Linked DNA regions of Drosophila melanogaster. The protein of the gene in region 2 purifies or fractionates together with the protein of the main gene of each other region. This does not show direct contact. Each region holds a gene or a part of one and is shown on either strand. Other genes may lie near its edges.

Region 1 (3,773 bases), 7.6 Mb from region 2:
AAATCTGACGCTCGCGGACCCAAAGTGTCATCGTTTTCTACCCATAGACTTAATGATTGGCGCTAGTCTCTTCTACGAACTGCTGTGCGTCGGTCAAGTCAATACCACATGCAATTCTAGTGTCTTTGGTCGCACCTACACCTTTGACTTGGAGTTCTGCTGTTTCCTCTGCAAATAAGTCGCTCTCCAATTATTCATCATATTCTTTAGTAATTTATGCATAAACAATACACGACAGCGCCACTCGGTCGGTTGGGCGGGAGGTGTGGCCGTGGGACCCGTGCAATTGATAAAAAAATAAATTATCGTTCGAGATCGCTGCATAGAAATCGTCTTTTCTTTGCAAATAGCTAATAGAAGAGCTTATTAGTTAAACAGTATTAGTTTTGTAAATTTCTAACGGTATTCCTAAAAACTTTTTGCCACGCCCACAAACCGCCAAAAACTGCCTCGCCCACACTTTTTAAAAATGTTTTTATATTATTTCGTATTAATATTAGTCTTTTATCGATTTTGCAAAAAAAAAAGTTTTGCCATGCCCACTCTAGCGTGAACAAACCGCCCAAAACCGACCTTACCATTGAAAAATGTTTGATTCTTCTTCGTTTTATTGTTTGTCTTCCGGCATTTTAATCGGCATACCAAAGACACTTTGGTCACGCAAACACAAACAAAACGCCCAAAACACACTTTTGAACCATTTTAGGTTTTCCTCATTTTTTAAAATTATTCTAGTGTCTTTGTTTACTCATGCGTCTCTAATGTCTCGAATAAACTTTGCAAAGAAGCATCGAATCTATTTTCTGTGCTTAGAAAAGGGACATATGGCGCGGTTCTGTAGGATTGATGGAATTTAGTTTACTGTGGGCTTACAATCCTTAACTGGTCTGCTATGGAAGAATTACGAGGTGAGGCTGACAGGCAGCTATAATATGAGGGTCATCAACATTGACAGCATACAGAGAAATTGAAAATGGCTATGTCAAGATGATACGTACAGTGACAGTGACAGTGTCTGCCACACTTCGGTGTCGAAAATCCAAATGAACCTACCAAAATACGTATAATCTACGTAATCTATAATGACGCAGCCAAGTCCCGGGATTAGGAGCTGCTTCAAGGTTTCTTGCAGTACACGTTCCTGTCGGAAGTGTGTGTACTTCAGGGAAGCAGCAGTCGGGGTCTAAAGATGGCCCAGGAATTGTCGACAGTCGCACTGAGGAATTTTATAAGCTGCCGTGGACCGGTGGCCAGATTGAGGAGTCAAAACGGAGAAGATGTAGAACGAACTGTCATCAAATTAAATGGAATGAAAATTTCAATGCCGGGCAGGAGGCGTATGCGAGCGGATGGTCCACGGGTTGAAGAAGGTACTCGCGCATACTAATAAAAAAATTAAGGTTAGTTTCAAATATTTTAGGTCTTTTTATTCTGCTTTTTACCACACTATGGTTCCTATTCAAATACAAATTACAACAACTATTCAATACAAATTTTATTTGTGTGTGTAATTTTATAGAGAACACGCATAGTTGTATATATCAATAAAGAAGTTTTCGCATCAGTTTTATGAAAACTTTCTATCACTTAAGCATATATTTATTTGATTGCTTTTAATTAGTTATTGTTTAAAAACTAGAGCAAAAAGAACCAAAAAGACAGAGAAGACAACTCTGGCCCACAACGAATTAGTAATTATTAATTTTCAGTAGATATTTTATCCACTTTTTTTATCAGCTTTTAGCTGATTGAATTTCGTTTTAAAAACACCACGTCATTTTTAAATGTTTGCCTCCAAAAACATGTATCAAGGGAATCAGGAAAAAATTATGAAAAGTTTTAAATAAAAGTTTATAGCCTAAAAAAAATTATCTGACCCCCGTCACGGCGGACAACTGGCCAAAAATTATTTTAATTGCTTTGATTGTACCTTGTGTGAACAGATTTTAACATCTAGGTAAAATTGCAAACGGTTCATAAAGATGTATTCTATTGGGGCTAGGCTATAAGCTTAGCTAATTGATATATATGCATAAAATAATCTGTTTTTGTTGGTCTGGCCCTCATAATTCAGGCATACATAAAATACATTGTGATTGCATCATAGCGGTCTTAAAGGTTATAGTTATTTTTCAAAAATGTAATTTACGTTCATATTCATAAAATTTGGTACTATATATGTTTTTGAATTCTGACTAGTTTATTCTCTTTTTAGCATTAATAATGGCTTTTAGGAACTGGTTTTCGCTTCCCGCCGTCAGAGCTGATGACGAAGAGGACTTAGTTGACCCTCAAGCAGTTTTAAGGGTAAAAAAGATTTCTTTACATCATTTAATATAACACTAAACTGATTTTTATGCAACAGGAAAAATGTCAAGCTAAAGGTCACATAGAATCCTTGTACAATAAGTACCAAGAGTGCAATGATCGTGTTAATGGGCGATCCAAAACAACTGAGACTTGCATCGAAGAATTATTTGACTATGTTGCTGAGTTAGATCATTGCGTTTCGCACAGTCTTTTTACAAAGCTTAAGTAAATACCATTAAAGTCAATTCCATTAAAGGGAAGGGCAGTGCTTAAAAATAAGAACATAAATAAACAAATCTCTTTATCGAGTTTTATACGTGTTTTGTGCCTTTTGGTGATCAGAACCTTTTAGAAGCGAAATTGGGTAGGTAATACTACACTAGTGGGCATAAGTATTTGCACGCCTTTGTTTTAATACTAAACCAAGGGTATTCTATTAAGTTGAGGGCTGGAATTTGAGGTGGCCAATCCAATGTTTTTATGCAAACATTTTTCAGAAACAGTAATCAGTTTGGTCTTATAACAGGGAGCATTATCATGCTGGAGTATGAAGGACTCTCCAATCAATTCATCATCATTATTATTAAGGACATCTAAATATTTTATTTGATTCATGTGTCCATCAACAGGAACCAAATCTCCCAAGACAGTGAAGGCTACGCATCCCCAAAACATAACAGACCCTACTGACTATTCTTTGACATTCTGGTGCCAGTTTTTTTCGATATTCCGATATCGAATTTTCGAAATTTAAAAGGTGGAACCATTTGCCCATGTTTTCCATTGCCAGCGCTTATGCAATGCATTTGCGCTGCAAATGTGTCTGTACGTATGTATATATTTATAATACATTGAAGTATTTGTATTGAGTAAAGTAATATGAGTTTACTGAGTGGGCTTCTTTTTTATTTTAGTTTATTTTTATTGATATTGTTTTCATTAAGTGATGCCATCAACTATGAATAAAAAAGTTTTAACGTGTAATTATGAACTACTTGTTTTTTGTTTAGTTACTTAATTTCATAACAAAACTATCTCCCACTGCTATTTTTATTTTGTTATGTGTAAGTCATTATTTTCATTATTCTTTCATTTATACTCTTCATGCATAGTTCTAGTTTTCTTATATGGTACTTCCAATCTTCATTTACTTTCCTTCTTTCCTATATGATAAATCGGCTGCTCTGCCAAAAACTATATGGAAACTATAGAACGGGTTGTATAAAACAATGTACGAAATTCTGAAGCCACAGGTCCCAATCAGTTTTATCAACTGATATGTATTCAACTGATAAGTTTTCAGATGGTGGTGAGCGGTAAATGTTAAATTTTTAATTTTAAAATTTTTGCAAAAATCGTTGATTATTGAGTGCTTATACTCTGTACCCATGAACGTTTTCAATGGACCGTAAGTCAGGATAAAGGATTCGAAAATTGAATTAGCGACTTGCGATCTTATATAG
Region 2 (4,515 bases):
TTGACCCGGAAATGAGGCTCACTGAGTACAATATGGCCCAGTTCTGGCACAACACTACGATTGTGCAGTCGGATGGGGACAATCTGCGGCATGGAGCTTTTGGTTAGCATACGAGGTGTTTGTTGGAGGAATATTTCTTAATACTGTTTCCTTGCAGCTGGTAACTATAGTTCGCTGAGCTTTACGGTCAATCTGAAGCGAGAAATTGGCTTCTATTTGCTCGACTATTACCTGCCCTCCATGATGATCGTGGCCATCTCTTGGGTGTCCTTCTGGCTTCAGGCGGACGCATCTCCTCCAAGGATTATGCTGGGTAATTACATTTAAATACTATTAACTTAAGCAACATTTCGTATTCGAAATCCATAATTAATTTGTTGACCTGCAACACAGTGCGTATGTGTTATATTCATTTAGAACATTGCGCATACGTCATGTTGAGTCATAGAATAAATGATTGCTTAAATTAAAGGAATAATTACAACATCTTAGAAAGAATTTAGTAACTCGAAATGATTATGATATGACTCACTTGTAACTAATATCCAATGCTCTTAGGAACCAGCACCATGTTGTCGTTCATCACGCTTTCCTCATCGCAGAGCAAGAACCTGCCCAAGGTGAGCTACATAAAGGTGTCGGAGGTGTGGTTCCTGGGCTGCACCTTCTTCATCTTCGGCAGCCTGGTGGAGTTTGCCTTTGTCAACACCATTTGGCGCCGCAAGGAGAACATTGAGCTGAAGAAGGTCAACAGCAAGTACATCATAAAATCCACATTGACACCACGACCGGCCCGCCGTCAAATTGGCGGAAGTTTGAGCAACGAGTCCAGGGCTAGATCGTGTTCCAGTTTGGACAACATTGTTTCCAGCACGGAGAGCGTGCGCAATGGCAATGGCACTGTGAATCAGGGCTTCAACAACTATTTGACAGTGCATGTAAGTACTCCAGATCGATGTCTTTCATGAGCTTTCTGTATTTTAACATTTCTCATGTCCTTAGCCCAATTTACCCATCATAAGAACGGAGTGCGCCGAGGCAGATACAGTGTCTATCTGCAGTGCGCGTACGAACAACGATCATATCGTGGATGTGGACAAGGATAAAAAGGACACGCCGCCCACCTTTACCACCATGACACCGCAGGAGATCGCCATGTGGATAGACCGGCGGTCGCGATTTCTTTTTCCGGCCATGTTCCTCGCCTTCAACGCTCTGTATTGGACCTTCGTCTATGTTTTGTAAGCGGATGTAGGCAGATGCCGCCGTTTATGTGAAATCTTGTCTATTTGCGTAGTCCTGATCGCGCAAATAATTGTTAAAGTGTAAGATGCATCATCTCATAGCTGTATAAATGTTAATCATTAATAAAGGTATAAACTATATCTCAACATTCGTATAAAAGGCTAATAATGGCAGGAAAAGTATTCTTGCTTGACAACTCATTTTAATCTAATGCATTTTGAATACAATAAAATTATTTATATGATATTTTACATATATTGAGATGAATGTGCCATCTTTAGTGGGCAAGTTTGAATACTTTGTATGCCTAATCACAGAAAATGAAGTTAAAAAGATAAGTAGCCCTCGATTTTACAATTCCATGTGTCTATTCTGTCTATTAATTTGAATAAATATAATCTTTTCGTTCACGAAATTTAAGTTTTTAAGCCGCTCACATATTTTATTACGGCAAAGGTAAGCAATTATGTTTTACATTATTTTATTGTTATATTTTAATAAGAATCCACTAATAGTTTAAAGATCCGCTATCCACACAAATTAGGTTCAAGTCCACGCTGAAAGTCTACAAAGTTACACATTCTGGTGGTGGCCTGCACTTAGCTTCTGTCCAAGACATCAATCTTAAAAAGCGGCACTTTTAGGACATTTTTCAAAAATAAAGCCTAACTGCTTGGTATGTTCAAGCGGCCCGTCCACGGTCACACTGGTTGAGACGAGTCGAGAGGAAATTGCAGCGTAAAAGTCGAATTTCAAGGTAAAAATTTGGCATCATAATCGGTACAATGGCAGGTGCTGGCTCTAAAAATATGCACAATTATGGGCTGCCAAAAGTGCAGAGATCGCGCCCAGTGTTAGACGTACTCGGCCGCCTTCATCCGCGGAGCAGTGCGAAAATTACATAACCTCCGGGTGCAGCAAATATAGGAGCACCACCTAGGCCATAATGTTTATAATAACGATCTGTGTCTTCATACAAATCCTGGTGCACTTCCTCTGCGGTTGCTAATCAAAGCTTTCCCCATCCGCAGCCCCACAACCATGCGTCTATCCTCGATCCTGAATGGCCAGCATTTTGGCAACTTGGCCAAGGTGCACGGCATCGTCACCTACAAGCTGTCGCCCTTCGAGCAGCGCGCCTTCGCTGGAGCGATCAGCAAGGGACTGCCCAACATGGTGCGTCGCTTCCGCTCCAACGTCTTCATCGTTACTCCCCGTAAGTAAATCGCTCAGGATTCCCGTCGAATCGTATTCTAATACCCAATTTTTCAGCCTTCATCGTGGGATACCTGATCTACGATCTGACCGAACGCAAGCACACCGCCCTGCTGCGCAAGAACCCCGCTGACTACGCGAACGACGAATAAGCGTCCCAACTAGCAGATAGTTATGTTAAACTAATTAATAAAACTAAACCCACAGTTCAAGAGAGTTGTGTGTTTCGGTTGCTGGAAGGCTAAACACCAAAGGCTTTGTACTCATACGTTACACATGGGATAATTTTATGTTCTATTTTATCAGTTTTATTGCTCTGTTTGCTAAACAATTCTAGAGAGAATTTGTTTTTCTGGATGAGCAGCTGCATCAGCTGTTCCCCAGTCTTGGTTTGAGTCCAAGCTATCTCGCCCTGCAATGTCTCAAAATAAAATAACAAAAAATTCATATGATGAGAATTTCAAAGAAAAAACACGACATGGAGGCAATATATTACGTTTTAATAATAAAATAAAAATTTTACTTGTTTTTAATATTCGGTAACGGTCTTAGCATTGATAGTCACCCGCTAGAGTTGCAGAGAATCAATCATCGAAAGTCACCCGAAACAATCGATGAGTGAGAAAAGTAAATAGCCCCACCTCTAGCCACCGCACAGCTGTTTGCAAGCAAAATATTGGCGTTCTAATTGGTTATTGATCCGATATTAGTGCATTAATGGACTGCTGCGGTAACGAAGTGCGCAGCGAAAGTATCCACAACATGCTACAGGCCCTGGTGGACTCAAAGGTGGTCAACGTGCAGCTTTTGTCGATTGCCGTGGGCATTTTCTTCGTGGTCATGCTGCTGAAAAACAATTTTCGCAGCTTTTCTGTCACGTAGATGGATCCAGTTTAGTGTTTAATATATCTCATAATGTAATGTACGCTAAGGATTAATAATAACTACCACAAGCCACCTTGCATCTTGTTTCAGTTCTATGGTTTTTGGAGCACTCCTCGAGGCAGTGACGTCACGTACATTATATGTGTAATATTTTGGGTGCTAGAACGTACTCGTGCTTTTTTCGGTCTCAGGGTCATCGTGTTATTTCGTAGGTGTTTGCACAACAACACGCCCAACCCCAAAAATATAATTGTTTTCGAAGGCCGGGTGAACTGGTTTGACTGCCCCCGAGACTTCCACGGATCGTGCAAAAAAAAAGAAGAAAAAAATAGAGCCCAGAATTTGTTAATTTCATCATCAGGCGACTGTGATTCTTGGCAAGCTGTCTTGCGATAAGATAGGTTATTCGAATACTCGAAGTAAGTCCTACTTGGAACAGGCATTCTCATCCAAAAACTGTTGAACTTTTGCCCCAATTGCCGGAGTAGAAGCCATATCCAATCACACTCAATTGCTATCCACAAACGATTCCAATTGACCGGCGATTGATTGCCCAATGTCTGCACGCACTTCCTGGTGCAGCATTAGAATTCAATAGACGCCCGACTTCAGCTGGCTCCATTCTGCAATCCCGTACTGACTCATTGCCCGGCACTTTCAGAATTTATGCAATACTGCGGTACGTGCTCTTATGCTAAAATATTGCATTAGAACACCCAGCGAACGTGACTTGATTGCAGGGCTAGAAATAGCAGCACTACCTTTAAGCCCTCGGATAAGCCACTGAGACAAGTCTACCTATTCTTCTGATTAGTGTTGCTTATACGAACATGAAGGATCCCATAAATATTCTTAAACATCAACTGATAGTCCTGCAACTGTCTAATCCTTCATATAGCCTGAAAATCTACCTAACTTCACAGCTTACTAATATAAACAAAAAAGTTACATCTTTAGTAGTTTATTATTAGTTTATAATAATCAGAGAACATATGCATTTCTTAGAAATTTCCGTGAATAAATGACCATTATTACAAGCACAACTTACGCATTAAACAATAATAATTGATTGATTAATACATATTCATATGTATTAATTACATCATCGGATCATTCAAACTTTCCCAACAAATGCAGTTAAGCTATTGCTTACCACACAAAATAAATCAA

What was found.
Region 1: the proteins of UQCR-Q (region 2) and UQCR-11 fractionate together in Drosophila melanogaster (co-fractionation; one study listed by BioGRID). This does not show direct contact.

Annotation. Positions count from the first base shown.
Region 1 is NT_037436.4:25,118,679-25,122,451, forward strand, and holds UQCR-11 (Ubiquinol-cytochrome c reductase 11 kDa subunit), read left to right. Parts: upstream 1-2,070; 5' UTR 2,071-2,140; intron 2,141-2,199; 5' UTR 2,200-2,223; coding exon 2,224-2,307; intron 2,308-2,365; coding exon 2,366-2,539; 3' UTR 2,540-2,693; downstream 2,694-3,773.
Region 2 is NT_037436.4:17,473,134-17,477,648, forward strand, and holds UQCR-Q (Ubiquinol-cytochrome c reductase ubiquinone-binding protein), read left to right. Parts: upstream 1-1,915; 5' UTR 1,916-2,002; intron 2,003-2,086; exon of another isoform or gene 2,087-2,191; coding exon of another isoform or gene 2,192-2,254; exon of another isoform or gene 2,255-2,276; 5' UTR 2,277-2,286; coding exon 2,287-2,461; intron 2,462-2,517; coding exon 2,518-2,612; 3' UTR 2,613-2,991; downstream 2,992-4,515. Other genes in the region: SecCl (secretory chloride channel), read left to right, coding at 1-102, 158-313, 559-938, 1,003-1,245; CG46525 (uncharacterized protein), read left to right, coding at 2,192-2,254; CG34250 (uncharacterized protein), read left to right, coding at 3,178-3,338, 3,436-3,493.